Linked DNA regions of Callithrix jacchus. The protein of the gene in region 1 interacts with the protein of each later gene in a pairwise test. Links are inferred from orthologs where the notes say so. Each region holds a gene or a part of one and is shown on either strand. Other genes may lie near its edges.

Evidence for each region.
Region 2: the proteins of TK1 (region 1) and GDF9 interact in a two-hybrid assay, tested with the Homo sapiens proteins (2 studies listed by BioGRID and IntAct). The link is inferred for Callithrix jacchus from reciprocal best matches to the Homo sapiens genes TK1 and GDF9.
Region 3: the proteins of TK1 (region 1) and COPS6 interact in a two-hybrid assay, tested with the Homo sapiens proteins (2 studies listed by BioGRID and IntAct). The link is inferred for Callithrix jacchus from reciprocal best matches to the Homo sapiens genes TK1 and COPS6.
Region 4: the proteins of TK1 (region 1) and CCDC90B interact in a two-hybrid assay, tested with the Homo sapiens proteins (2 studies listed by BioGRID and IntAct). The link is inferred for Callithrix jacchus from reciprocal best matches to the Homo sapiens genes TK1 and CCDC90B.
Region 5: the proteins of TK1 (region 1) and RBM48 interact in a two-hybrid assay, tested with the Homo sapiens proteins (2 studies listed by BioGRID and IntAct). The link is inferred for Callithrix jacchus from reciprocal best matches to the Homo sapiens genes TK1 and RBM48.
Region 6: the proteins of TK1 (region 1) and MAGEA4 interact in a two-hybrid assay, tested with the Homo sapiens proteins (2 studies listed by BioGRID and IntAct). The two-hybrid records come from large-scale screens. The link is inferred for Callithrix jacchus from reciprocal best matches to the Homo sapiens genes TK1 and MAGEA4.
Region 7: the proteins of TK1 (region 1) and TUBB2A interact in a two-hybrid assay, tested with the Homo sapiens proteins (2 studies listed by BioGRID and IntAct). The link is inferred for Callithrix jacchus from reciprocal best matches to the Homo sapiens genes TK1 and TUBB2A.

Annotation. Positions count from the first base shown.
Region 1 is NC_133506.1:133,958,962-133,962,752, reverse strand, and holds part of TK1 (thymidine kinase, cytosolic), read left to right. Parts: intron 1-2,864; coding exon 2,865-2,954; intron 2,955-3,292; coding exon 3,293-3,412; intron 3,413-3,511; coding exon 3,512-3,703; 3' UTR 3,704-3,791. UniProt on the Homo sapiens protein: Cell-cycle-regulated enzyme of importance in nucleotide metabolism. Catalyzes the first enzymatic step in the salvage pathway converting thymidine into thymidine monophosphate.
Region 2 is NC_133503.1:75,579,079-75,583,465, reverse strand, and holds the start of GDF9 (growth/differentiation factor 9), read right to left. Parts: upstream 3,067-4,387; 5' UTR 809-3,066; coding exon 412-808; intron 1-411. Other genes in the region: UQCRQ (cytochrome b-c1 complex subunit 8), read left to right, coding at 3,441-3,594, 4,037-4,131. UniProt on the Homo sapiens protein: Required for ovarian folliculogenesis. Promotes primordial follicle development. Stimulates granulosa cell proliferation. Promotes cell transition from G0/G1 to S and G2/M phases, through an increase of CCND1 and CCNE1 expression, and RB1 phosphorylation.
Region 3 is NC_133503.1:13,492,935-13,497,383, forward strand, and holds the start of COPS6 (COP9 signalosome complex subunit 6), read right to left. Parts: upstream 3,040-4,449; 5' UTR 3,027-3,039; coding exon 2,960-3,026; intron 2,738-2,959; coding exon 2,612-2,737; intron 2,419-2,611; coding exon 2,287-2,418; intron 1,640-2,286; coding exon 1,551-1,639; intron 1,451-1,550; coding exon 1,388-1,450; intron 1,137-1,387; coding exon 1,089-1,136; intron 1,001-1,088; coding exon 886-1,000; intron 801-885; coding exon 708-800; intron 608-707; coding exon 507-607; intron 377-506; coding exon 236-376; 3' UTR 1-235. UniProt on the Homo sapiens protein: Component of the COP9 signalosome complex (CSN), a complex involved in various cellular and developmental processes.
Region 4 is NC_133511.1:57,103,219-57,107,009, reverse strand, and holds part of CCDC90B (coiled-coil domain-containing protein 90B, mitochondrial), read right to left. Parts: intron 3,150-3,791; coding exon 3,035-3,149; intron 1-3,034.
Region 5 is NC_133512.1:57,087,068-57,090,130, forward strand, and holds part of RBM48 (RNA-binding protein 48), read right to left. Parts: intron 2,876-3,063; coding exon 2,730-2,875; intron 879-2,729; coding exon 310-878; intron 1-309. UniProt on the Homo sapiens protein: As a component of the minor spliceosome, involved in the splicing of U12-type introns in pre-mRNAs.
Region 6 is NC_133524.1:148,218,945-148,222,321, reverse strand, and holds the end of MAGEA4 (melanoma-associated antigen 4), read right to left. Parts: intron 2,278-3,377; coding exon 2,213-2,277; intron 2,138-2,212; coding exon 1,110-2,137; 3' UTR 552-1,109; downstream 1-551. UniProt on the Homo sapiens protein: Regulates cell proliferation through the inhibition of cell cycle arrest at the G1 phase. Also negatively regulates p53-mediated apoptosis.
Region 7 is NC_133505.1:27,486,557-27,491,010, forward strand, and holds the start of TUBB2A (tubulin beta-2A chain), read left to right. Parts: upstream 1-1,462; 5' UTR 1,463-1,543; coding exon 1,544-1,600; intron 1,601-2,886; coding exon 2,887-2,995; intron 2,996-3,331; coding exon 3,332-3,442; intron 3,443-4,418; coding exon 4,419-4,454. UniProt on the Homo sapiens protein: Tubulin is the major constituent of microtubules, a cylinder consisting of laterally associated linear protofilaments composed of alpha- and beta-tubulin heterodimers.

The DNA.
Region 1 (3,791 bases):
GAACAAGGAAGAGCAAGGAAGCTTTAGCTTTGGCGAGGCTCTCCCTGCCTTCAGACCTGCCACTGTGAGTTGCTCAAGAGCTCTGCTCTGGCTCTGCATAAACCTTGTTGACAGATGCTGACCCAGACCCCCCCCAGGCAGAAACCTTTCCCTTCTCCTTCCTCCTTCCGTAACATCCAGGAGCCAGCATATTAAGTCCTGTCCCGTTCCAGCCTGAAGGAGAGATTTCTCAGTCTACTTCCTCCCTGGCCCACAAGTAAAACTTTAGTTCATTCAGGGAGTGCTTATTACACCCCATATCCAGACATCAGCCTTGTGCCATTCTGTGTGCCCTTGTTCCTTTCTAGAAGTTTAGCATCTTCCCACTGCAAGCATTTCTAGATGGAGGAGAGGGGTTCCTAGTATGGGGACCCACAGAAGGACTGTCCTTCCCTCCTTCATTGTCTACGTGGACAGTGGAAGAAGCCCAGCCTGACCTGCCTTGTTCCTGTTTTCTGGGTCAGCAGGGAAAGCCTTTCATAGAGTAGCCACCATGCCATCCTGAGGAAGGCCCTAGGTCAGAAGCTTCTGTGCTTCTTTGTATGCCGGGTGAGGCACAGTGGCGCTCACACTGCTTTGTAGAAATTGTTGGCATGCAAGAGAGAGTCATGTGGAGACCCCAAAGCCACTAGCTGGGCGTGCTGTGCTTCAGATGCTGGTGGTGGGTGAGCACCCTGGCCCCAGCACCTCCCCGATGCGTTCATCAACAGCTGTACAGTGTCTGGCGGGCCTGCAGGGTTGCTTGGCAATAGTGGAAGCTCTGATTTTTTTAAACTTTTTTTTCTGGCTGGGCACAGTGGCTCACACCTATAATCCTAGCGTTTTCGAAGGCCAAGGCGGGCGGATCACTTGAGGTCAGGAGTTTGAGACCGGCCAGGCCAACATAGTAAAATCCCGTCTCTACTGAAAATACAAAAATTAGCCGGATGTGGTGGCACACACCTATTATTCCAGCTACTTTGGAGGCTGAGGCAAAATCATCACTTGAACCCGGGAGGCAGAGGTTGTGGTGAGCCAAGATCATGCCACTGCACTCCAGCCTGGGTGACAGAGTGACTCTGTCTCAAAAACAAACAAACAAAAAAAACCAAAAAACGGTTTTTTGTGTTTTCTGTTCTACTAACACAAGTAATACAGGTTGAATGTTCCTTATCGTAAATGCCTGGGACCAGAAGTGTTTGGATTTCTGATTTTTTCAGATTTTGGAATATTTGCATATATATAATATAATGAGACCTTGGGAATGAGTCCCAACTGTAAATACAAGATCCGATATGTTTATAGATGCCTTATCCACATAGCCTGGGAGTGATTTTATATGCTATCTGGTAATTTGGGCATGAGCCAGGGTTTTGACTGTGAGCTGTCCCATAAGGTCAGGTGTGAAATTTTCCACTTGTGGTATGCACTCAAAAAGTTTCAGGTTTTGGAGCCTTTTGGATTAGAGACTTCGTAAGTTTAATCTGGAAAAACTTAAGAGTCTGGCACAGTGGCTCATGCCTGTTATGCCAGCACTCTGGGAGGCCGAGGCACGCAAATTGCTTGAGACTAGGAGTTTGAGACCAGCCTGGGCAATATGGTGAAACCCTGCCTCTACCAAAAATACAAAAATTAGCCAGGAGTAGTGGCACATACCTGTAGTCCCAGCTAGTTGGGAGGCTGAGGTGGGAGCATCGGCTGAGCCTGTAGGTCCAGGCTGTGAGTCATGGTTGAGCCACTGCCCTCCAGCCTGGGCAATGGGGAGCAAGACTGGGAGCTGCCTTTTTGTGACATGTGATGAATCCTCAGAGAAAAAGAGAGAACACGTGCATGGTGGGGCAGGGCCCAGCGTGCTGGAGTCTCTGGGTTTTCTTTCTAGAGGCCCCTGCAGTCTGCTGAGCGCAGTCGGTTACATCAGGCTTCACCTGGATCCCACTGGAATTTTTCCAGTTATCCCCTAGTCCTCGCCTTGCTAAGCCCTAATGTCTTAATAACCTCAAACCTCAGTACCTGGGCTGAGGAAAGCCTGAGGGGCTCCTGGAGAGAGACCTGTGCCCAAGGACAGGAACATCCCCACTTCAGCCAACCCAAAGGCCAGTCTGGACATGTGAACTCAACCAGCTAAAAGCAATATGACTGATTGATGAGAATCACCAAAGCACTTGCTAGAGTTTCAGCTTCTCCCTGGGCCAAAGTGAAATTTGATGTAGGCAGTAAATGTGCTCTGTGCCGGCCCTGTATTTAGAAGGCTGTGCTGTGTCATCCTGCTCTGTAAATGGCCAGGAGGACCCCCACACCTTCTCAAGGCACATTACCTGTCTAAAAAGGCGAGGGGGCAAGAGCACAAAATGCCCAGCTACTCACTGAAGTGCATGTGTATAACTTAGTGCCTTCTGTCCTTACACAATAGGACCTTTCTTGCTATCGCTCAGTGAAGAGGAAACAGGTTCAGAGAAGTTAACTCACTGCCAAGGTCACACAGATAATGGTGTCCGCTCGGAATAGCGGTGTCCGAGCCCCAGGCAGCAGATGTCTGGCCCCAGCCTTTGGCCGCTGCAGTGTTAAACAGCACAGCAGGTGTGGAAGTCTGATGCTGAGTCCTGGGTACCTGGACTCGGAGCAGAAGCTGGCTGCAGAGGGAAGAGGCTGGGCAGTTGTGGATGTGCCTGTCATCTGCTGGGAGGGCACCCATGGACAGTCCCCAGCCTGAGGAACCTCATGGAAGAGTTAGAGTTGCTCCAGGCTGAATGGCGGGAGTTGTCTGATCTGGCAGCGTCTCTGCTGGGACTTCAGGGAGCTGCTGCTAGGGTGGAAACTCTCACGCTTTCTCCACCTTCCCTTTCCAGTTCCCTGACATCGTGGAGTTCTGTGAGGCCATGGCCAACGCCGGGAAGACAGTAATTGTGGCTGCACTGGACGGGACCTTCCAGAGGAAGGTAAGGTGTCTGATCCAGGTCTGGAGCGTGATTCCAGGAGGGGAGGGGGCTTCTGGGTGGCCAGGGCCCAGCCACTGTAGGGGCACAGTTGAGCTGCTCAGACCAGTCCTTGCCTGAGCCTAGGGACTCCCTGGTCTATGCAGACCAGGTGCCATCTGTTGCGGCAGGTGGTTTGAATTGGCAAGGAGACAAAGCCAGGCATGGTGCTCTGGGGGTTGGGGGAGGACTGAGGTCAGAGCAAACTTTCCTGGCTTCAGTGCTTATGAATCAAAGGGTTTAAAAGAAAACCCCGCCTGGGAAGGTAGCCGAGCACCCACTGTCTTTCCATGGGAGTGCAGGCATTTGGGACCATCCTGAACCTGGTGCCGCTGGCCGAGAGCGTGGTGAAGCTGACCGCAGTATGCATGGAGTGCTTCCGGGAAGCCGCCTACACCAAGAGGCTTGGCACCGAAAAGGAGGTACCTCCACCTGTCTTCCCTGCGGGCTGGTGGGGTGGGGGCGTGGCTCTGTCTCCTTCCTGTCCCGGCCCTTCACCCATCCCCTGTCCCTGCGGCTAGGTCGAAGTGATTGGAGGAGCAGACAAGTATCACTCTGTGTGTCGCCTCTGCTACTTCAAGAAGGCCTCAGGCCAGCCTGCCGGGCTGGACAACAAAGAGAACTGCCCCGTGCCAGGAAAGCCAGGGGAGGCTGCGGCTGCCAGGAAGCTCTTTGCCCCGCAGCAGATTCTGCAATGTAGCTCCACCAACTGAGGGGCCTGAAAGGGCTGCTCACTCTCTTCCAGCCGCTGCCGCCTAGCGGACACTGCTCTCCACGCTACCTGCCTGCTCCAGGAGGGTG
Region 2 (4,387 bases), on another chromosome or scaffold:
GTTCCAAATGGGGACTTAAGATTTTCTCTCAAAGAAAGTAACAATGAAAAAATATCCTATTTAACATGCACACCAATAGCTGTAAGAGATGTTTAAAGCCCATTTCCGGGCCAAAAGCTTAGTGGTATAGAAAGAGATGCTACTATTCTCTAGCAGCATTGCCCTTCAGCCTTGAAAGCCATTAAGTCTCCGGTGTCACTTTAAAATTCCATCATGTAAGCCCACCTTAACGAAGGAGAGCATTAGGAACAAACAATAAGCTCAAATCCCAGATTTGTTTCAGTTGGATACTGAGTTTTATGGAAAATAAAATGCAATTCAAGGAGCTAGACTCAGCTCCTTTCTGTAACTGAAATGCAGAAGTGTTTATCATCCTCCCTCCATCCAGTTAACCAATCTGCTTTTACACACCTGTTACCTGGTCTCCAGGAGCCTGCTTGTGCTGGGTACAGGGGGTGAAGAGCCGAATAGTGTTGTAGAGGTGACTTCTATTGGATTTAGGAATCCCTTCCTTCGTAGCATATGTGTTATAGAGCTTCTTCATGTAGTGCAAAGCTCTGGAGTCTGGCTGCAGCCTAGGTGCCCCACCTCGCCCACCAGAGAGAACTTTGAAAAGCGGGGGAAGGAGGCCAGCTCTGTCTCTCTCCTCTATAGGCTGCAGCAAGGACCAAGGCTTAGCCTCAGATGCCAACTCAGCACTAGCAGCAATCTGAGCGTCTCCCCTAGAAGCCTGAGAACCAACACTAATAGGAAAACATAGCCAGGCAAAGCAGCAAAACCAAAGGAGTAATTTGCTGGGAAGCGCCATGGCTTGGGAGAACTAGCGAGGAACATATTTCTCCATGCCAGTCCTCTTCCTAAAAGCCAGGAAGAGCCTAGCTTGGTTTCTTAAATAAATTTTAGGTGTGTGGGTGGAAGAGCATCACCTCTGTAATCAGGCCTCAAGTATGCCTAGCTGAAGATGATTTTTATCAGCTCTATATCAAGCAGCTGATAACACCTTATTCAGCCAATCTATTCACCAGCTAGAGATTGGTTATTTAGATTTCCTCCCTTTTCCCCTGCCATTTACTTAAAACCTGTCATTGTTATAGTACTGGGCTAGCTACTAAGCTGAAAGTCCAAGATAAATTGAGGAATTATCTTAAATCTCTCAATTTTTGAGAAATCTGGATTCCTAAAATGTTTGTTAGGTGATTGCTGAAACTTCTGAGGCATGTGGAAAAGCTAACCAATTATTCATGATGATACTCAGATCTGTTGCTATGCAACGAACTTATGGTATTAGCTTTACTCTTCCTCTTAATTTATCCCCACTGCCTCTTCCACTTCCAGGTGTTTACAATATGTAATTATTCACTGCATGTTAATTTGAGGGGTGAGAAAGTCACAATTGGCATAGAAGTTCCCAGTAGTCCCAGGTGGCTGGGTACAGAATATGTACTTGGAGTATTGCAATTGTATTTGCAATGTTCCTAAAAGAGAAGGACATTGCCTTTAATCTTGATTTATTTTTAAATATAACATCTTGATGTCCTTACTTTGGTCTACACACTCATTTATATGTATTTTGGTTGAAAGGTTTTGGGATGTTTGCAGATGCTATAAAATAAATGTTTTATTTTTTTATTATTCATCCAAATGGTGGTAGAATTCGCTATAGCATTTCTGTCCTTATCTGTATTTCTGTTCTTGCCTTGGAGCTGAGACCAGGCTAGACATTATGGCTTAGAAAAATGAGGCAAAGGAGCACCACAAAAAGCTGAAATGAGGGGATATTCAGCGCCACCCCGAAGGAGAGACTGCTGGAAGAAAGTCAACTCACACCCATAGTACAAGATACAAAGCCAGTCTGTGCAGTAGCTAGATTGAGAAAACTAAGGTATGTATGCAAAATACAAGTTGACTGCCTGCTGAGCCTCCGTGGTCCGTAAGCAGTGTTATAAAACACACTCATGGCCGGGAGCGGTGGCTCAAGCCTGTAATCCCAGCACTTTGGGAGGCCGAGGCGGGTGGATCGCGAGGTCCAGAGATCGAGACCAACCTGGTCAACATGGTGAAACCCCGTCTCTACTAAAAATACAAAACATTAGCTGGGCATGGTGGCGCGTGCCTGTAATCCCAGCTACTCAGGAGGCTGAGGCAGGAGAATTGCCTGAATCCAGGAGGCGGAGGTTGCGGTGAGCCAAGATCGCGCCATTGCACTCCAGCCTGGGTAACAAGAGTGAAACTCCGTCTCAAAATAAATAAATAAATAAATAAATAAATAAATAAATAAAAATAAAACACACTCATCTGTTGATTGTTTGGTCCTAGATTATATATGGCCAGCAGTTCCACTAACAAAACACTGACAGCCGGCGCGTGGTGAGCTGCACAGGACAACAGCATCGTTAAGTAGAATGCACTTCAGGGAAAACACAAGAAGGCCTCTCACTCGACATTCCTTGCTTCTCATGTGGGGATAGGAAAGAACTGGGGCATGGTGATACCCCCCACCCCACGCAAACCATCTTGGGAGGAGGCTGGCTGCTGTCGACGCAGCCTCAGTGTTCATCAATTGCTTGATGATTATTTGATGATTTTTGTGGCTGAATTTCAAGAAACGTTTTTATTATCTCTTGGGACTGTTTACAGCCTGCCGGTGGACTCTAAAACAGAAGTTACCAAGAAAAGCCTTAGATGTATGTCCCTGATTTTGGTGCTGGGGTTGCTGGTGGCCTGAAAATAACGGAGCCCCCTTTGAGCTACTGGCCAAGACCAAAGTGGTCTGCTGCGGGGTGGCCTGGCCTCAAGACGCAGAGGCACTCTGTCCACAGCCGGGAGTACTCGGAGGCCCCAAGCTCCTGGCCAGCGCGGCCCCCGAAGTCGACAGGCCCCTTCCTTGTCACTTCTTTGTCCCCTCACCCGCCTCCCGCATTCGACCGCTTCCTGATTGGACTCCACAGAAAGGCCGACGGCTGAGGAGAAGTATGAGCGCCTCCGCCTGTCCACTGCTTCCCAAAGCCCGCTCAATCCCCGACGTCCTCCGCTAGGCTCCAAGCCACAGGCCCAGGGAGGGCCTCCAAGGTACCACCCACCTACGGGTCACCCAGTCAGGACACTTCTTTCTGGGACAGAGGCGTCACCCCCTAGAGACAGCAGGAAAATGGTATCTCCCAGAAGTGACCTCACGTCCTCCAAGAGCGGCTTCCGATCTTACCGGAAATGACGAACGAGTCCACCGGATCGGTGACTACGGAGGGGTCGGTGACTCCAGTGAGTGAGTGGCGTTTGGTTGTGCTGTTAGTGTACCGTGGGGGACTCTCTGGGCTGGGGAAGGATAAGGATTGCAGGGGCAGGCGTCTGGGGTTGGGGACAGATCCCCGCGGGGACTGCGGCGCTTCGCGAAAGCGAGCCAAGCGCCCGTCCGCCCTCGGTCCTGCAGGGCCGCCGCCACCATGGGTCGCGAATTTGGGAATCTGACGCGGATGCGGCATGTGATCTCCTACAGCTTGTCACCTTTCGAGCAGCGCGCCTTCCCGCACGTCTTCTCTAAAGGAGTCCCCAACGTGGTGCGCCGCACTCGGGAGTCTTTCCTTCGCGTGGTGCCGCGTGAGTGCCCAGGGCCCGCGGGGGCGGGAGGCTGGATTCCAGCAGCAGCAGTAGCAGCAGTCACTGCGGCTCCCCTATGAGCGGGGGCGGTCGGGCAGGCGCTCTGTAACTTGCAGTACACACCTTTCTCGTTGAATATTCGTGACCGCCCTTAAGCTGGTCATACTATCCTCCCCATCTTAACACGGGGAAAACAGTTACAGAACTGAAATGACTGGCTCAGGGTCACTCCGTCACTCGAGTGATTCCAGCATGTTCCTCGGAGGTCATCTTTATCCAGTTCTTAACAGTGGTGAAATGCTTTGTAAAACATGCCGCAGATAGTGATGATAGTTGCACGGCCTTGGATATGCTAAGAACTACTGAAGTGTATACCTTAAGAGGACTAAGACCTTTTTTTTCTTCTTTGTGTCTTATATGTGTGCTCTCTTGGTTTTTAAAGCGTTTATAGCGTTTTATCTTCTCTACACATGGGGGACTGAAGAGTTTGAGCGATCCAAGAGGAAGAATCCAGCTGACTATGAAAATGACAAATGAGCCACGCATCCGAATGACAGTTCCCTGACTCTTAAAAGACCTTTCTCTGGAAGAGGAGTCTGCATTGTAGTCTCTTAAAGACACAGTAAACTTCCTATGGTCTGCATTGTTGTGATTTTACCTTTTTGTGAACAGAATCCTGTGTGACCCCTAATATTCAAGTTCATGAAGCTCCCCTCTTCAGCATGAGTCTTGGAAGTTTTTACCTGGTCTAGGGTTTTAGTGAAGGAGCAGGGCTCGCCTTTTGTTCCATAAT
Region 3 (4,449 bases), on another chromosome or scaffold:
GCAGTGCCTCCGTCATTGAAGAACATCAGAAGGGCTTGTGAGCAAGGCTGGAATGAGCTTTGACGAACATCCAAGTTGACAAACCAGTGTGGTGCCTAACAGAGAGGACAGAGCCACCGGCAGGGGTGCTCAGGGGCTATTCCCCCTTTTATTAATAAATGACAGCGGTTTCTAGTGCCCCCCCGCTTTGGGACAGTTGCCTGACCCCTGTCCATCATCCCTTCAAGTACCCGCATCAGAAAAAGAGCCCGCGCATTCGCCTGCCAATGCCTTGTCGGTCGTAGAGGACGTTGAACTTGTTCACAAACTGGTTCATGGTGTTGCACGTTTTAGTGATGGTGCCGAGGTAGGCCATGAGCCCCACATCATTGCATTGCTGGGAGGGAACATAAAGGACCAGTTCTTCAGGGGATCTCTTGTGGCATGCCCAGGGAACAACAGTCCCCAGTCCTGCATGTGAAAGTGACAGCATAAGCCCCACCTCCCCATCTGGGTTTTACACTCACATCATAAAAGTCTGTCTTGAACTTGTCTGTGCTGAGCACTGGGAGGCAATGACACAGAGCATAGGCCTCCCGCAGGATCTCATGATTAAAGGGGACCTCTCCTAAAGGCACAAAAAGAGGCTGCATTAATTTGGATGCTGTCACTTCCCCAGAAGGGAGAGGAAGAACCCCAGGGAAGTGTCAGGGAAGCCCTTGACCTACCTGCTTCAGAGGCCTTGACGTACTCCAAGATGAGCTTGACGCGGCTGTGCAGCATCTTGATGGCACTGTGCTGTGCTATCAGGTGTTCAGCCACTGCAAGGGGATGGAGACAGGAGGAGGTTGGGACAGGATGTGGCCACACATTCCACCCCCACTTCCAAGGAATCCCCTCCGTTACCGGTGGAGTTCTCTCCACTGCCTGTTGCTGTCATTCGGGCCACGTGGTCTACACCAATGCGTTCCGCTTCCTCTGTGGCCAGAGTGTAGGTCAGCTCAGCAAACAGCATTGTGGCCTACAGGGCAAGGTAACCCACAAAGGGAGAATCAAAAGCAGGAAAGAGGACAAGAGCAGGATGTGAGGGTTGAAGGGTAGGGTTTTACCTCTCCGTTGATTATATCAATGACAGACTCAAAAACGCTGACAGGAAGCTGTGGAGGAGATGGAGAAACCTGAATACTATCTGCCAACATTGGGGCTAGTCGATTTCACACATTTCCTCTCAGCTAATTTTCCCTAGAAACCAATGAAGTAGGGATTACCTCATTTCACACAGTTTGGAGATTAAATGACTAAGCCAGAGTCACAGCAGATAAGTGGCATTTGGCATTCCCCAATACACCGTCACACAACAAAAGGTACAGCAACAATTATGACACAGTAGGCATGGGATATTACTTACATCTGTGTGCTTGGTCATAGGGTTCAACTTCAGAAAGAGGGGGCTCTCAATGATCTCACACACCTGAATGAGAGGGACGATGCACAGGAAGTCAGTGCCCCCCTTTCTCCTTCCCCTCATCCCCCATTCTCTGCTTCAGCATGCACAGGTGTGAGATGTATACCTGCTTGTGGACGTGGATGTCCGAGGGGTCAGGTGGCCCCCCTGTGGTATACCAACCCAGAAATTCCAGCTCCTTGAACACCTGTTTAACTGAAGGGGAAGGGACCAAAACACATAGTAATTATTATTATTATTTTGAGACAGAGTTGTTCTGTTGCCCAGGCTGGAGTGCAGTGGCGCAATCTTGGCTCACCACGACCTCCGCTTCCCAGGTTCAAGCGATTCTCCTGCCTCGGCCTCCTGAGTAGCTGGGACTACAGATGCACATCACCACATGCGGCTAATTTTTGTATTTTTAGTAGAGATGGGGTTTCACTATGTTGGCCAGGCTAGTCTTAAACTTCTGACCTCATAATCTGCCTGTCTCGGTCTCCCAAAGTGCTAGGATTACAGGCGTGAGCCACCGTCCATGCCCAGCCTGACATAGTAATACTTTAAGCCATCTTTCCTCTGTGTGAAGCTCCTGGTGTATTTTCACCAGCTTCTCTCCCCGCTCCTCAAATCCTGGCTCAGTTTAGAGTAATTACTCCCTTCTATCCTGTCTTTTATCCTTTACTTTCTTTTTGGGAAAGAACTCTTAATGTGTTCTTTTTCTGAGATCTCTCCAGCAATTCTCTTAACCTTTTCTTCTCTGTTCTTGGCCTCCTCTCCTGTTTATTTCCAACCTTCTCCATCTTCCCCACCCTGTACTTTTTTTTTTAACTCCCACTCCTCTTCCCCACGTCTATTCCGCTCACACTGCTCTTCCTTGGTGTAATAATATTCCTTGTCAATGATAATCTTCTCTTCCACCGTGTGGGACAGCAGCTCAAAGGAGTTCATCACCTCGATATTTCGGCCCTCCTGCTTCCCAATCAGAGCCCCAATCACTAGGAAAGAGAATGACATGGAAAAGGTGAGGGTAAGGAAACTTCTATCACCTAAGGGTCTGAGGTCAGTGGGAGCCAAGTACTGGGGAAACGATGACTTGAGGGAGGGGGAACTGGCTCCAGTAAAAAAAGGGAAAGACGACTGGGGGAGGTAAGCAAGGAGAGGAGACTGGAGGCTATGCCCAACACTCACCCTGCACAGGCCGCCCCTCCTGGGAGCGCATGCGGATCCAGTGGTCTGAGATGTTGAGAATGACAAGGGGATGGAGAGCGACGGATACACTCCCAGTCACTCCGGAGGCCATCACGCTGGGGACTACTAAGGGTGGAGGGAAAGTAGAGAGGGTGAGAGTCCGGGCCCCACGTCCTTCCCTGGAGACGGCAGTGGGGGACGACGGAGCCCGGCCACACTTCCCTCCCGCAACTTATCCCAGGGAAAGATGTTGCTGTTCCGCCCTCCTCCCTTCTTCTGGGAGCACAGGGAGGCCTCAACGCACCCCTGAAGGAGGTCTCTGGAAGCCACCCCCACACAGCCCGTTACCTGCTGCATCCACCTCCATCCCGCTGCTCCCTCCGGTCCCGTTCGCAGCTGCAGCTGCCGCCGCCATTTTCCTCGCGCCCGCCGGCCTCGGCCCCGCCCCCTTCCTTCCCGGCTTCCGTAAGGTGAGAGGCGCATGTTCAGTGTCCCCGCGGCGCGCGGCGGGCCAGGAGTCCCAGGAGTAGGTAGTTCACTGGCTTGGTTGACGGTTTTCTGGCTAAGGGATCCCGACGCCCTCGCGGGTTTTCGCAGACCTTGTCCCCTCCTGACGCCTGCGGGTAACGTTTGACAAATTACTTAACGGCTTGATAGTCCTCATCTGTAAAATTGAGATAAGAATGCCTAGTTCTTTTTTTTTTTTTTTTTTTGAGACGGAGTCTCACTCTGTTGCCCAGGCTGGAATGCAGTGGCGCGATCTCAGCTCACTGCAACCTCCGCCTGCCGGGTTCAAGCAGTTCTCCTGTCTTAGCCTCGCTAGTAGCTGGGACTACAGGCGCACACCACCACGTCTGGCTAATCTTTGGTATTTTTAGTAGAGACTGGGTTTCACCGTGTTAGCCAGGATGGCCTCTCTCTCGTGACCTCGTGATCCCCGCCTCGGCCTCCCAAAGTGCTGAGATTACAGGCGTGAGCCACCGGGCTTAGCCAAAAACGCTTAGTTCTTAAGGCTGTTGCAGAATGAATGAAATGTCGTGTTACTGCCCTCACAGTAAAATCCAAACAACCGACCACACTCTGCAAGGCCCTGCCTGAACTGCCCTGGCCTGACCTCTACTTTTCTAGCCCTTGATATTCACGCTTCAGCGGCACTGGCCCTCATGTCTGGTTTTGTTGTTTGTTTGAGACAGGATCTCACTCCATCTTCCAGGCCGGAGTGCAATGGTCTCATCTCAGCTCATTGCAGCCTCAGACTCCTGGGCTCAAGTGATCCTCCCACCTCAGCCTCCCAAGTAGTTCGGACTACAGGTGCGCCCCACCACACCCAGCTGATTTTATTATTATTTATTTATTTATTTTGAGACGGAGTTTCACTGTTACCCAGACTGAAGTGCAATGGCACAGTCTCGGCCCACCACAACCTCCGCCTCCTGGGTTCAGGCAATTCTCCTGCCTCAGCCTCCTGAGGTACTCCTGAGTACCTGGGATTACAGGCACGCGCCACCATGCCCAGCTAATTTTTAAAGTATTTTTAGTAGAGACGGGGTTTCACCATGTTGACCAGGATGGTCTCGATCTCTTGACCTCCTGATCCACCCACCTCGGCCTCCCAAAGTGCTGGGATTACAAGCTTGAGCCACTGCGCCCGGCCGTGTTTTTAGTAGAGATGTTTCACCTTGTTGACCAGCATGGTCTCGATCTCTTGACCTCGTGATCCACCTGCCTCGGCCTCCCAAAGTGCTGGGATTATAGGCATGAGCCACCGTGCCCGGCCTATTTTTTAATTTTGGTCAGAGACGGGGGTCTCGCTAGGTTGTGCAGGCTGGCCCCCAGTT
Region 4 (3,791 bases), on another chromosome or scaffold:
TTAGAACTTATAAATTATATTTAAAATCATTAACATTAGCATTATTGACTATATAATTATAAGCTCTAATTACAGATCTCATAATGAGCTAATGATCTCATTCAAATCTTTCTTATATTAAAAAATTATGTAGTTAAGCTAGTAGAATAAACATCCATATGTCTATGAGAAGAGAATTTTAATTGCCTTTTCAGTACATTTTAAAATAATTTCTCTTAGTAAAAACTCTTTAAACTCAAGTAGAAGAAAAGCAGAAAAAGCATCAGGTTTTTAAAATAGTTAATATACTAGCTGTACTTTATGTTACATCATTTTGGATAAAAAAAGCTTCTGTTTTCCCAGCTTTTAGAAGGTAAGACTGAGTGAGGCCTTTGGGGACTCCTTAGTCTCCTGTTTGTTTAAAACACCAATTAATGAATTTTAAAAACAGACAATTTAGAGATGAAGGGAAAACTTTTATGAATAAAGACACAAGAAAGCCTTTCAAAGTAAAGTTATTCATAATATATAAACCCATTTGTATACCATTCCCTTTGATCCTACTACTTAGTGAAACTTGGTTAATGATAAGATTATTTTCTCAATTTTAAGAAACGGCATTAGGCATCTCTAAGACATATAGAGAAGGGCATTTGAGAAGTAATAACACTAAGAGTTTCTTGTTTTACTGCCACTGGTTGATCCTGCGACTATTTGCCACATGTCAGGTAGTGTGCTAGTGTGCTGAGCAATTACATACACTATCTATTTAACCACGAGATTGGTGGTATTATCCCCATTGTACAGATAAGGTAATAAGCCCAGTTATATCACTAGCAAGCAGTGAAGACAGGATTTAAGACTAAGTGTACTTGACTCTAAAGCTGTTTTTTTCTTTTAATAAAAAAACACACAAAAGATTTGTTACCCTTATTATATATTGTGACACTGGCAAGACTCAATCTGTCATTTATTTGAGCCACATAGTGCTAAGTGGTTACATCCTCTGCTGATTTAACAGCTGATAAATTAAGTTTTAGATAACCAAAATGAACATTTATTGTGAGGTAGCAGGCATTTTGATCCTTTGGTAGACTATACAATCGACTGCATTTAAATTTCTCTCTCATGTCTTGCTGCTGTTATTTCAGCTTTTATTTCTCATGGCTGTTGCTGTGGTAACTATGGAGCCATTCCCAAATTCTTTTAAATTTGCTGTTTATCCTCTATACCCTGTCTAGAGAGACGTTCTACATATATGTAAAATGCTTAGGTGAGCATGTGCCTGATACATTTTAAGCACTCTGTAAACATTAGTTTTCATTATTTATCTGCCCAGAACAAAATATGCCACATTTTCTACAGAGATTAACCACATAGATTGAATGGAAATTGCCATTATTCCTTGGCAGCAGTGTTCTGGGACAAAAGGTGGTATATGACCCAAGATGAACCATTCAGACTCCTTTCTGAGGATTTTAAAAATTGGAACTAAAGAAAGAAGGCAATCTCTCCTGATTAGTGAAAGTGGAATGATAAAAGAGTCTAGGTGGTAATGTTTCCAACCCATGGAGAAAGCTGGTATGAGCAAATGAGGTACACATTCACAGATTTAAAGAGTAAGTTCTGATTCCAAGTACCCTTGTAGGTAGGCTATTTTACTTGTGCCCCGTGCCCCTTCCATGGTTCAGCTGATGTCTGCGGGCTCCATCTTCAACCCTGCTGGCACCTCAACATCAGTGGTGACTGCCCAGAAAATGACTAAAAGTATAAATCTGCAGTTTTCTTTTAGACAGCAATTTGTTAATGTCAAAAATTTTAAATGTGCATATCTTTTTGACCCCAAATTTTAAATGTACATAGCAAGTTGTTATATAGAAATGACTGCACAAAGATGTGTGTGTTTTTACTCAAGCATACACATATATATGGCTGTTCAATACAGTATTGTCCTTAATAATGAAAAACTGGAGTGAGAATGCCTATTAATAGAGGACTGGATACATAAATTTTGGCATTTTCATATAGAGAATACTGTGCTTTCTAATAAAATGATGTCTGTGTGTATTGATGTGGAAAGAAATAAGACATTTGGTTCAATTTTTAAAAGTTGTAGAATATAAAAATATGTGATCTAATTATTTTTAAGAAGTATATAAAATGTTTATATACAGAAGAAGCCTAGAAATGTTTACTACTAATAGTAAATACACATGGGGAGGGGCTTTCACTTTTACTGCTTTTAAATTCTATGAATAATTTATAATGAAAATACTTTTTATAAAAAGAAAGAAAAAAGACAAGTAATAGTTGACTAGGGCATTGTTTCTAACTACTGGGGCCCTATAATTGGGTCAGGTCAGATGGTACTTGAGAAGCTCAGTATGTGACAAATAATCTAATTTTGGGGTAGTATCTAAGCTGCATCAGTTGATTCAAGGTAGGAGGTCGTCTCTCCCCCCTTCAGGTTTTTAATGAGCTTATATCTACTTTATTGATCTTTTTCTCTAACCTCATTCAAATCTTTGTGGAAGAACATGAGCAATAAAAAGAAAATTTTCATTATTTCGCTGTGGAATATCCAGTTTATCCTTCTATTATTTTGTGCTTGTGTTTATATATTTCTTTCTTTTTAAAAAAACTTTTAAATCCAATTATTCCCATTGTATATATGCTTCTTTTATATCCACATGCTTTTTCTATTAGTAAGCTGCAGAGTTGCCTGCTACACTTGTATTCTGAAGGTTAACACATCTGTGAGGATGACAGAAGCTTCACATTGAGAACTGTCCAATACTATACCCTATATGTTTTTTCCTTTGGCTGGATCTAATTTGTAATCTGCTGTAATAAAAATTGCAAGTAATTAAAAAAAATACAAGACTCCCCAAAATATATCCTGAGACTAGAACCTTCTTTAAGCATTACAGGGACCAAGCAATAAAGGAGCCTTGTTATAGCTCCTTTTTTTCCCCCGTGCCTGCATAGTTACCTTGGTAGGTAGGTACTAACAGGATAACTAGATGACAGCAGTTTCTTTCTCTAACAGTCTTACCTGCAAGATAACGAATGGTCTCAAGTTTGTTAGACTCCATCAGTGTTTTTAAGGAAGCAATTTCAGCATCAATTTTATTACTGGTCTCTGAAATAATACTTTTGGTTTGGGTATCCTGTAGTAAACAAGAATAAGAGAACATAATTTGTCCCTGTTTAAATGGACAAAAAAACATTTACATCAGAAACCCTCACTTATGGGCTGTGATACAAAAGTCTTAGTTGGAGAGAAACAGTAAAAGCATAGTGGCATAAAAAAAATAAATTAAAAAAAACCCTACAAACTGACAAATCACATTCCTTCTACTTTCGTCTTTGGAGATCATCTCTTAGGATTATCACATACTGGGAATATTCTACTAAAAACCTCATAATAACATATTTGATACCTAAATATGTAAGATGATAAACTGAGAAACAAAAATTAAGTCACAGAACTATCATTTTATGTGTGCAAAGTCCTTAAGATATTATGGTTAAAACTTTAAATATAATCTACAAATGAAAAAAAAAAAACCAGATATATCAACTGGCACCAGTATTAAAAACATTGGAAGAAATACCTGATGGATAACACTGATACATGTAGAGAGGACAAAAGGTAGGGAGGAGAGATGAGACCTAGATCACAGAAAGTAGTTGTAAAAGACTTTGCTGATTTCCTTGCTTATCTCCTTTATCTGGCCAAGAAGTAAGAGAAGAGAATAAGATCTTTGAAAGAACAAGTGTGACCTTCTCTTCTATTAAATTATGAGCAA
Region 5 (3,063 bases), on another chromosome or scaffold:
TTTTAACAAAAATGGCAGGTCTGGGCTCCACTCTCAGAGATTGATTTAAATGGCTGAAACCACTGCTTTAATATTTTGTATCTACAGTGACATAAAATGTTCATTGTTTAAGCAAGTCTTAACAGTATCAAAGCAAATAAAAATGTGAGCCAAATTCAATTATTTCAACAGAGAACCGTAGAAAAACACGTCAAAAAACTAAAAGGTGAAAAAAAAATTACTATTGTTCCCACAAATAATTCTCCATTTAGTTAGTCCTGTAACCAAATCGTCTCTTAGAACAGTTTTTTTTTTAAAAAATAACCTTACCTCTTTAAGTTTATTCCGAATTAAATTTGCCGTTGTATTCAATGAGTCATCATGCATATCCACTTTAGATATGTCTGGTAACAGAGGTCCAATCATAACCTCATTACTACTTGGGTTTGTTTCAAGAAAAGTTCCAAGTTTACGATCATCTTCTCGTCTTCTTTTGCGCTCCTGCAGTTGTGTTGTCCTAGGCATAAATCTGTCAACTGCCTCTGAAGGAATAATAGCCTTTCGTGCACCCTGGCAGTCTACTGAGTTTTTGAAAGGGTTTATCTGTGTTTTCTGCAAAGAGTCACTGTGGTTATAATGCTCCATTGTTTTATCATGGTTTCTACCATACTCAGAGGAGTTTGATGCTCTATCTACATGCTTCCCAGATGAACACATACATTTTGAGGAGAAATAACATAAAGGCAATTCACAGGAATATGGAAGATAAGGATATGAGTTCCCTGCAGAAGTGTTCAGAGCAGTTGTACAAAATCCAGACATCTCTGAGTGGAAGTCTTGTCTAAAATCCTCTGTGTCTTTATGCTCTGTAACCAATTTCTTCTTTGTCACATAATGGTCTTTTTATTACAATTTAAAAGGTGAGAGAAAGGAAAACAGAGGTAGTTTATTGTTTGCATCATTCAGAATCATATAATTTTAAAAATCACTTAAAAATGGTAACAAATTCTACACCAAAAAATCTATTTCTTGAGAAGGGAATATATTCATGTGGTTTAAAACCTAAAATGGATAAAAAGATATGTAGCATCAAGTGTCACCCTTTCCTTGCTCTCCATGGGCCTGGTTTCATCCCATAAGTAAGCGCTATTGTTCTTTATTTATCTGTTCAATATGCCTTACTTTGCTTCCTCCTACCTCCCATTCTTTTTCTCCCCACTAAAAAAGGTAACCTGTAATATGTACTTCTTCTGCACCTCTGTATTTTCCACTTCACTGTAGATCTTATATAGTTTTTCCATATCATTATATACAATCCTTTTTTTTTGCAATTTCAGAGTATTCCAGTCATGCTGCCTAGCCTGTGTTTGTTAGTTATTAAAGAAAGCAATATGTGTGGCTTACTTCTAGGGCTGGAAAGGACCTCTTCCCTGGTTTACTCTCCCAAAAGCAGACTAAAACATCAGTGGGGTGCGGAAGATGTGGTAAAGATGAAATTGGCTATCTGTTGATGATAGTTAATGTTAATACACGGGAGGTATGTTATCTTAGTTTTTCTACCTGTGTGTTTTGAAATTTCATTAATAGAAGTTTTTGAAAAGACCAAATATACAATTATGTGTAGATGCTAGAATGCTGCAGATAAAATAGAGCTTAACTAAAGTGTTCAAGGCCAAAAAAGTCATAGTTTAACAACAATGAATCTAATTCCGAGGGGGCAGGGCAAAAAGGTCTTAAGGGTAAGGGGAGCAAATAATGAAGATAATGCTAGGCCACCACTAACATTGAGATGATTAAAGCAGTTTAAAAGTAAGCTCTGGACAGGGAGTCCAAAGCTTGGGTTTTAATCCTTATTTTTGTCCTTAATTTATCTCTAGTAATATAGGCCAGTCACAAACTCTGAGACTCAGCTTCCTCACCAAGAAGTAGGACACAGGTCAGATAATGTCAAAGGTCTTCCTCCACACTAATATTTTATAATTTCCTTTCCGTTTTCTATTTTTTTTTTTTTTTTGTATATTTTATAATTTCCTTTGCCACACAAATATACAAATTTTCCTGGTGCTATTTACATATCTTACAAATTAATGTCTACAAATGACTGGGGATTCTCAACAGCTCTCTTGCCAGATTTCTGAGTAAGTTTTCCAAGAGTTTTCTCACTTTATTTCTCTCTACCACTATCTGGTAGAAGGGGCATGTGGGGCATTTATGCGGTTGCTTGGTCAAAAGTAGAACTTCTCCACGATTAGCAGTGACAATTAGTCTGCAAATCACAACTGCCCACTGCATTCTGGTCAAAGCCTTAATTCCTTAGCAGGGACACAAGGCCCTTCGTGATTTACTTCCTATCCACTATTCTAAACTTATCTGTCACTGAAACCTCTGGGCTTTGATTATATTGTATGAGTTAAAGTTTCTTAAATACATGATGCTCATTTATTCCTCTAAGCATTTAAACATCCTGCCTGGCTTGCCTTTCCATCTTTTCCTCTCCCTTCTAAGTAATGTCTACTTATCCTTCAAAATTCAGCCACTTCTAACAGACTGGATGAAGTCTTCTATGAACCAATATTTCTCCCTTCTCAACCCAGATTATGTAGTACGCTGCAGAGAACTCTGTGGTTTACACTTACTGAATACTGTGATGATTTACTTGCCTCTCTTCCCACTAGACTGGGAACTGCATGATGACACACTTGGCAGAGTGCCTGACACACAGAAGGCATTTAGCAATATGCTTTCCATACCTCTATTTTTAGTAGTTCTTACTACATATGCCTTTCGCACTGCTAGTTTTTTTCTAGTTTCTTCAACTGTTTCAAATTCTGGAGCATAGCACACATGAAGCAATCCACCGAAAAAACTCTGTTCATCCATTTTTCTCTTGGCTGTCCTGAATGGAAATACAAGATAGCATGGTTTTTTTAAATCCAGATTTACTTACAAATGAGAGCTTAACTAGTATACAATACCTGGAGCTAAAGCCAAAGTCCAGCTTTTGCAATGTGTATGTATATATCCTGTGGACTGGGAATCAAGATGCTCTGTTTGTGGATGGTATTCATACCACCCATCCAGTAT
Region 6 (3,377 bases), on another chromosome or scaffold:
AGGTGGAAAAGCACCTGGCCAGTGGTTTCTGGGTCTCCCTTCAGGGGAAACACACCCTTATCTCATGGAAAACCCTTGCAAATAATGGGTGTACATCACCTAGCTCATGCACTGTGTTCAGCAACACTGGGACAAAAGTGTAAGACACCTTCCATTCCTGCCCCATGTAGAGGCTCCTCTCTGTTCATCCACCGTCGAAAAGGAACTGCTCAGAGCAGTTTTCTAAACCAGGCTTTTCTCTCACCCTCTGAGAATCTGGCCCTGGCCCCACCAAGCTTCATTAGAATCAAATCCCTCAAAAGAAAATGTAGTTTCCCAAAGCCCAAAAGGCCCCACACAGGGAATTTATACTCCACCACTCTCACCTGGAGCCCCACACTCACACCCCTCTTATTTTTCCTCTACATCTTAGAGGACTTATCGCCACCTTGATTATGTGACTTCAGCTCCTAGACTCTACCACCTTCTATGGGTAGGGTGAGACTGGCTTACCTTAGCATCCCCACTACCAACCCAGGGCCTTCCACAGAGCAGATACTCAGTGCGTAGAGAAGAAATGAGCCAGTGAACAGGGAGAATTGTTTATTCAGATTTAAATTCTGTTACATTCACAAAGACGCTAAAGGCAATCCAGGTATGCATATATGTTTTTTGAATTTTACAGAATACACTGAGGTATAAGGCAAGAATTAAGTATCTTTTAATTTATCTCACGTATTTTACTGTGAATTCAGTCACCATTTTTAACGCTTACTCCACTGCTGTTACTATGTCTCAATTCACAAAATAGAATGGATTTCCCAATCTGAATAGAAAACAAGACTTTTACTCCTTAACTACATAAACACTAATATAGTTGACTACTATAGATAAACTTGTATGCTGAAGTTCAACCATCTATTAAAGGAACATTTAAACAATTCTAAAAGAAACAGAGATACATCTCCAAGTCACTCAATGAAACAGAAACCCACTACTAAGAGCGCTGACTACTCAGAGAGAAGAATGGGCCTCAAGGCACACGAGGCAGGGGAAGCTGCTGGACAGGGCCCTGGAGGTTGAACTGGCCCAGTCCCCTTCCCCTGGCCCTGGCTGCAACTCACTCGTCGTCAGATTCCCTCTTCCTCCTCTGTCAAAGCTGCATCATGCAGGGATGGGTAGGGAATACGATCTCTCGCATTGACCTTGACAACATGCTCCAGGACCTTCACGTAGCTGGTTTCAGCAAGGGCCCTTGGGCCCCATAGGAACTCATAGCGTGCAGGATCACTGCCGGGCACCTGCCGGTACTCCAAGTACTTTTCTTGCACCCAGTCTTGGGTGAGCAGCTTCCTGGGCTCCCCAAAGACACTGTGCTCCTTCCCATCATACACCTCCATCACACTCAGCTCCTCCCAGATTTCCTCCTCAGGGGCGCAGTCGCCCTCCATTGCGATCGTGCCCAGGACGAGTATCAGGAGGCCTGTCTTGGGCAAGATGTGATTACCACCCCCCAGGCCATCGTAGGAGAGGCCCAGGCAGGTGACAAGGGTATAGGACTGGTCGGTGGAGTCCGGATCGTTCACATCAATGCCAAAGATCATCTTCAGGGACTCGGAGGCTTTGCCGAAGATGACAGGAAAGTAGCGCCTGTAATTTCTTACGGCCTTCTCCAGCATTTCTGCCTTTGTAACCGGCTCCTTGGCTCGATACTTGAGGAGCAGAAAATGAGCCAACTCATCCACCTTCTTACTGAGTGCCTCTCGGAACGCACACTCTGGGTCAGGAGAGGTGCTTGGCCCCTCCTCCTCTCGGCAGGTGCTGCTGGAACCCTCACTGGGTTGCCTCCAGTGAGTGAAGTTGACAGTAGTCGGGAAGGCAGAGGCTCCCTGAGCACTCTGGGGAGGACCTGTTGACTCAGCAGCAAGCACCTCCTCCAGCGTGCCTGGGATCAGAGTAGAAGAGGAGGAGGCGGTAGCCTCCTGCTCCTCAGTAGTGGGAGCCTGTGCACCGACCAGGCCCAGGGCTTCTTCTTGGGCCTCAAGACCTTCCTCAGGCTTGCGGTGTTGACTCTTCTCAAGAGACATAATGACTCTGGTCAGGGTCAGAACAGTAGGTGGGAGTGTGGGCAGGAGCTGGGCAATGAAGACCCACAAACCTGGGGAGAGAGGAACCGTGTGAGAGGCCTCAGCTGAGAACCGAACGTTGGAGACGCTAACAAAGGCTTACTTACCGATCTCCTTGGTGCTCCCCTGTGCCTCCAAGGAACCTGGCCCTCCCAGTTGGAGAAGGGGGAACCTGAAGGGGGAAATGAGAGGGCGCCTCAGGGTATACAGCCAGCCAGCAGAGGTCAATTCTGCAGGACTGACAGTAGGGAGGGTGAGGCCACACTCTCTCAAGTCCCATGTGTCCTGCGGCAGGTGGGACCCTTGGTGTGCATTCAGGGGAAACAGTCACTGCTGGCACGGCCTGTGCATCCTCTGCTCTGTAACCTGAGGCCACTGCCTCAGACCAAAGCCCCACTGCCTGGTTCCTGGAGCTCCTGGGTGAGGAATCCACACACCCTCAGGGTGCAGACTGCAAGCACAGCCCTAGCCCCTCACTGCTATCCACCACTGGACTCTGTAACATCCCTACTTTCATGGAGTGGATGGTCCCCTCTGTCCTCACGCAGGGGCCTCACATTTTCTGGCAGGGCCTGAATCCCACCCTTTTTGCTGCTCAGGGAAATGCAGATCAAGAACTCATATCCCTGATAGGGAACAGAAGGACAGCAGGGGACCCACATCTGGCCACACGTGCCTAGGTCCATCCAGGAAGAACAGCAAGAGGTATTAAAATTCATTGAAATTAATGCGTCCTGGGCGAGGAGACTGCTTGGTCCTCACCTTGACCCCTGGCAGGGCCTGGAACTGTCCCTCTACTGACCTGGGTCCAGCCCCCTCAGAGCAAGGCCTCCCCCTCCATGACATCAATGATCCCAGGATGAGAGAGGGACCTCTGCAGACAGCCAAGTCCATGCTCTCTGGGGTGACAACAGGAGCAGGGCTGGTTTCTGTGGGGTCACCATCTGCCTTCTGGCCCTGGGGTACCCTCAATCCTCCCTCACATTCCTCACCAGGACTCTTGGCAGAACCTGGGACCACTGTGTCTGTTGACCAGATAAGGATCCCTGTGTTGACCTGAATCACTCTCTGAGAACAAGGTCCTCATTGAGCTGAAATCTGCAATCAGAAGTGAGAAGTAGCCATATCCTGTCATCCCTGTGTGCTGACACCTTTGGTTCTGGAGTGAGGGTTCTGATGGGTGCCTGTGGGTTACTCATCTTTACTCCTGATGGGGCTCAAACCCCCTGAGATGAGCAGATATTGTCCCTTTATTCCAAAACCTCATCTCTC
Region 7 (4,454 bases), on another chromosome or scaffold:
AACAAAAATATGCATAAGTGAGCAGCAAATGGAAACCATGTATGTAATTTTGCGTTTTCTAATTTCAAAACAAGTAATTTAACACAACGTATCCAAAACACTATTATTTTGATTGGCCATCAATATTTAAGAATCAGTAATGAAGGCCAGGTGCAATGGCTCACGCCTGTAATCCCAGCACTTTGGGAGGCGAAGCCAGGTGGATCATGAGGTCAGGAGTTTGAGACCAGTGTGACCAACATAGTGAAAGTCTCTACTAAAAATACAAAAATTAGCCAGGTGTGGTGGCATGCGCCTGTAGGTCCTAGGTACTTGGGAGGCTGAAGGGGGAGAATCTCTTGAACCCGGGAGGCGGAGGTTAAAGTGAGCCGACCAAGCCATTATACTCCAGGCTGGGTGACAGAGTGAGACTCCGTCTCCAAAAACAAATAAATAAAGAAATATTTCACATTATTTTAACTTACTGAGCCCATAACATCCAGTGTGTACTTCACACTGAACAGCATATTTCGTTCAGACAACCTACGTTGCAATGCTCAGCAGCCACGGGTGCCTAAGGTCTACCAAACTGGATAGCCCAGCTCTGAAAGCTTCTGTGAGGATCAGGTGACCTAAGGGGTGTAAGGGGGCAGGGCCATAGGCTAACACATCAACGTGGCAGATATATTCCTCCTGTCTCTCCTCTCTGACGCACACACAGAATTTTCCACATTTAAAAGGCCTTTACAAGGGCGCAGGAGCCCAGGACATGTGACAAATCCAGTCCTTTTCTGGCCCCCGCCCCGCCCCCCACAAAGCCATCTTTCTTCCCTGTAGGGGCGAAAGGCCACCCACCCCGCCATCCTGGCATTCCTTTCAAGCAGCTGCCAGTCGGCTCCCCCGAGCTCTCCACTCCGCTCCACGCTGTCCCCGCCACCCAGCACCGGCGTCCCAGCTGGGATGGAGCGGGAGCAGAGTCCAAGCTCCTGCCTAGGATGCGGGAAACCTTTCCACCCGCTGGAGACTCCTCTGTAAATGGGTCTTCAATTCCCAGCTCCCCACTTCAAATGGTACTCAACGCCTCTTCCCGGCCCTGGGGGCTAGGACCCTGTTCCGAGGCAGCCTCTCCAGTCTCTAGCCCCTCTTCTAGGGTCCAGAGTAGGCGGGGTGGGGTGGGGATTGCGGCGTGAGCTAACCCAGAGCCAGGGGGAGGCCGGCGCCCGCAGATCGAGCAGGGGGCTGCGGCTGGGCCTGAGGTCCGGGCATCACACTGGCCGCCAGACAGCAAGGCCGGGCGCCCACTCGGGACCCAGCGGCAGGCGCAACCGGTCGAGCGCCCCCGCATCTCGCACCGCGCCCTGGCTCCCCCTCGCGGTGCCGCAGTCCCAGCCGCGCCTCTCGCGCGGGCGCAGCTCCGCCCATCATGACGTCGCAGGGTAGGGCAGGTCCCCGGTTATAAAAGGTGGAGCTGGGGGGCGGCGGCAGGTCTCTGCGCAGCCGAGCCCGCCGGTCCACGCCGCGCACCGCTCCGAGGGCCAGCGCCACCCGCTCCGCAGCCGGCACCATGCGCGAGATCGTGCACATCCAGGCGGGCCAGTGCGGCAACCAGATCGGCGCCAAGGTGGGCGCGCCGCCGCGGAGGGGCCCGGGCTGGTGACGGAGGGTGCGGGCTGGGGCCGGGGTCGGGGCAGGGGCGGGTGTGGGAAGCCTCGGTGGCTCGGGGCTGGCCGTGTGGTACACTCCGCGGAGAGGCGGGCGGGCAAGGCGGGGGAGGCTGCACAACCCGCCAGGATGCCCGCGGCCCCCGTAGCCGTGTGAGTCTTTAGTCGGCGCCGTTTCGATTTCCCTGGGACACAGCCCTTCTGCGGGACGCAGTTGGCATTCCGCTGGGTGTATTAGTCTCAGAAACTTGGGGCGAGGATATGGTCATATTTATTCCGCTAGCTTCATGAGATATTTAATTTGTACATTTTTCTCAACGGTTTGAATGAAAACATGCAGTGTCACTGGACTGACAGGTGTAACAGAGGCTTCCCTTTGGGTCACACAGGCGAGGGTGTTAGATAAATTCCCTTGTTCCCTATTTCCGGCACTGTCTAGACATGAAGTCTTATAACGCCATAGTCTTGCTGCCAGTCCCTGAGGTGGCAGGTGACTGTGCTGGGTGGGGGCTGCAATTACCGACCGCTGTGTGGGAGGCAGCAGCCGGCTTGCTGCATGGGTGGGGGTGGTGCCTGTACAAGGACGTGGTCTCTTTGAGAACCGCCATGTTGCCCACCCAGCCTCCCCGCCCCCTCCCTGTCTTAAATTCACAATGGAGCCAGCGCCCTCACCATGGCCAGCTCCTTCCACTGCCACCCAGGCGTCCTCCCAGGTTCCTGCTGCCCTTCCCTGCCCAGTCTCTCTTGTGGTCAGTGCCAGCATGTAGATCGGTGGCTTAAACCTGCACTGTTGCAGGGGTGCCTGGGATCTATGCCAAGAGAGCTTGATTCCTGGAGGCTGCCACAGTGTGGGCTCCCCTGTCCTCAGTCCTGCCACGACCCATCAATCATCCCCGATGCAATGGCATTCAGCCCTGCCTGGGGTGACAGAGCCTCCCTGTACCACTTTCCCACCTCTCTACCCTCCTGACCCTCTCTCTAGAAGGGCATTTGCTGTGCCCCCTCCTCCTCCAGGGCCCCTCCCAGCCTTTCAGTCTATCGCCATAATATGGCCGATGCTCTGCGGATTTTCAAGCCCCTCAGCAGTGGCTGCTGCAGGAAATAGGGGGTGCAGCTCTTTGCTCTCTGTCTAGCACTTACCGTCTGACCACAAAAGCCCCTGTTCCAAGGACATGGGAGGAGGACAAGGCCATCCTTAGTGACATTCAGGACGCTGGGCCATGGTCTGGATCTTTTTTCATTTCAGTTTTGGGAGGTCATCAGCGATGAGCATGGGATCGACCCCACAGGCAGTTACCATGGAGACAGTGACTTGCAGCTGGAGAGAATCAACGTGTACTACAATGAGGCTGCTGGTGAGTAGCGGGATGTGTTAGCAAGAACATTCCTTCTTCCTAACAGGAATCCTTGCTTCCCATGCTGTGGGAGATGAACCGTCCTAGGAACATGCACGTGACAAAGGCATGCTTCTTGCATATTCATTTCAAATGCCAACTGCTGGAAAAACACACGTAATGGTTCCCTAAGAATCCTGCCTGTTCGCCACGGCTAAGCACACTCAAGACCTCCTTTTTCTTAAAAGCAGAGAACCTCCTGTTCTCCTTTTGTCTCAGATGCTGGAGCTGTCTTTAATGAATGTTGCTGTGAGTCCCCCCCAAGTACAGGTCTGAGTCAGTTCTCGTTCCCTGCAGGTAACAAATATGTACCTCGGGCCATCCTGGTGGATCTGGAGCCTGGCACCATGGACTCCGTCAGGTCTGGACCCTTTGGCCAGATCTTCAGGCCAGACAACTTCGTGTTCGGTATGTAGTCACCATCAGTGGGAACTGGCCAAATGCCACACCTTCTTCCTCACAGCCCTGCAAAGCACAGTTCTTAGTGTTCACTGCCAAGGTGACACTGTGTCCACGGGCAGCCCTGAGTCCTGGCCTAGTTCCACCCAGTCCACGGGTGGTCATGGCTCAGAGATCCACACCAGCCTGCAGAGGGCTGCTGCAGCCCTCCCATTACAGAGCAGCCTCAGACTGGAAGAAAGAGCAAGGAAAAGCTTCAGGCCAGGTTTCATAGGCTACAGGCAACTTGAAAGGACTTCAAAGAGCCAGGGGCCAAAAGTACAGGTTATGACTAGAGCTTAGACTGATGCTAAAGCCACCTTCTCTCCTGGTCACCTTGAATATAAAGAGAATGCCTGTTTAAAATGTATGTTTCAGAACTGTGGCCAGGCAAGGTGGCTCACACTTGTAATCCCAGCACTTTGGTGGGAGGCCGAGGCAGGCATATCAGGTCAGGAGTTCAAGACCAGCCTGGCCAACATGGTGAAACCCTGTCTTTACTGGAGATACAAAAAAATTAGCCAGGCGTGGTAGTGTGCACCTGTAATCTCAGCTACTCAAGAGAATGAGGCAGGAGAACTCCTTGAACCTGGGAGGTGGAGGTTGCAGTCAGCTGATGTGCCATTGCACTCCAGCCTGGGAAACAGGGTGAGGCTCCATCTCAAAAAAAAAAAAAAAGTAGGTATTTCAGAACCAACTAAGTTTTCTAACCCTATCCTCTTCCTCAGTCAATAGCCTCAGATGAGCTAAACTTGCTTTTTACTTTATTATGAGCCCATGTTTTTGAGGCTCACTGACAAAAATATTTCTTTAGGTAATAGAAGAGTATTCAAAAGAGAAGAATCTGCCAGTGTAAGATCAGTCCTACACTCTCCTCCATAGTCAAAATGACAGATTTTGAAATTCCTTATGTCTGAGTGTCTAATAGTCACTTTCCCTCTGGCAGGCCAGAGTGGAGCCGGGAATAACTGGGCCAAGGGCC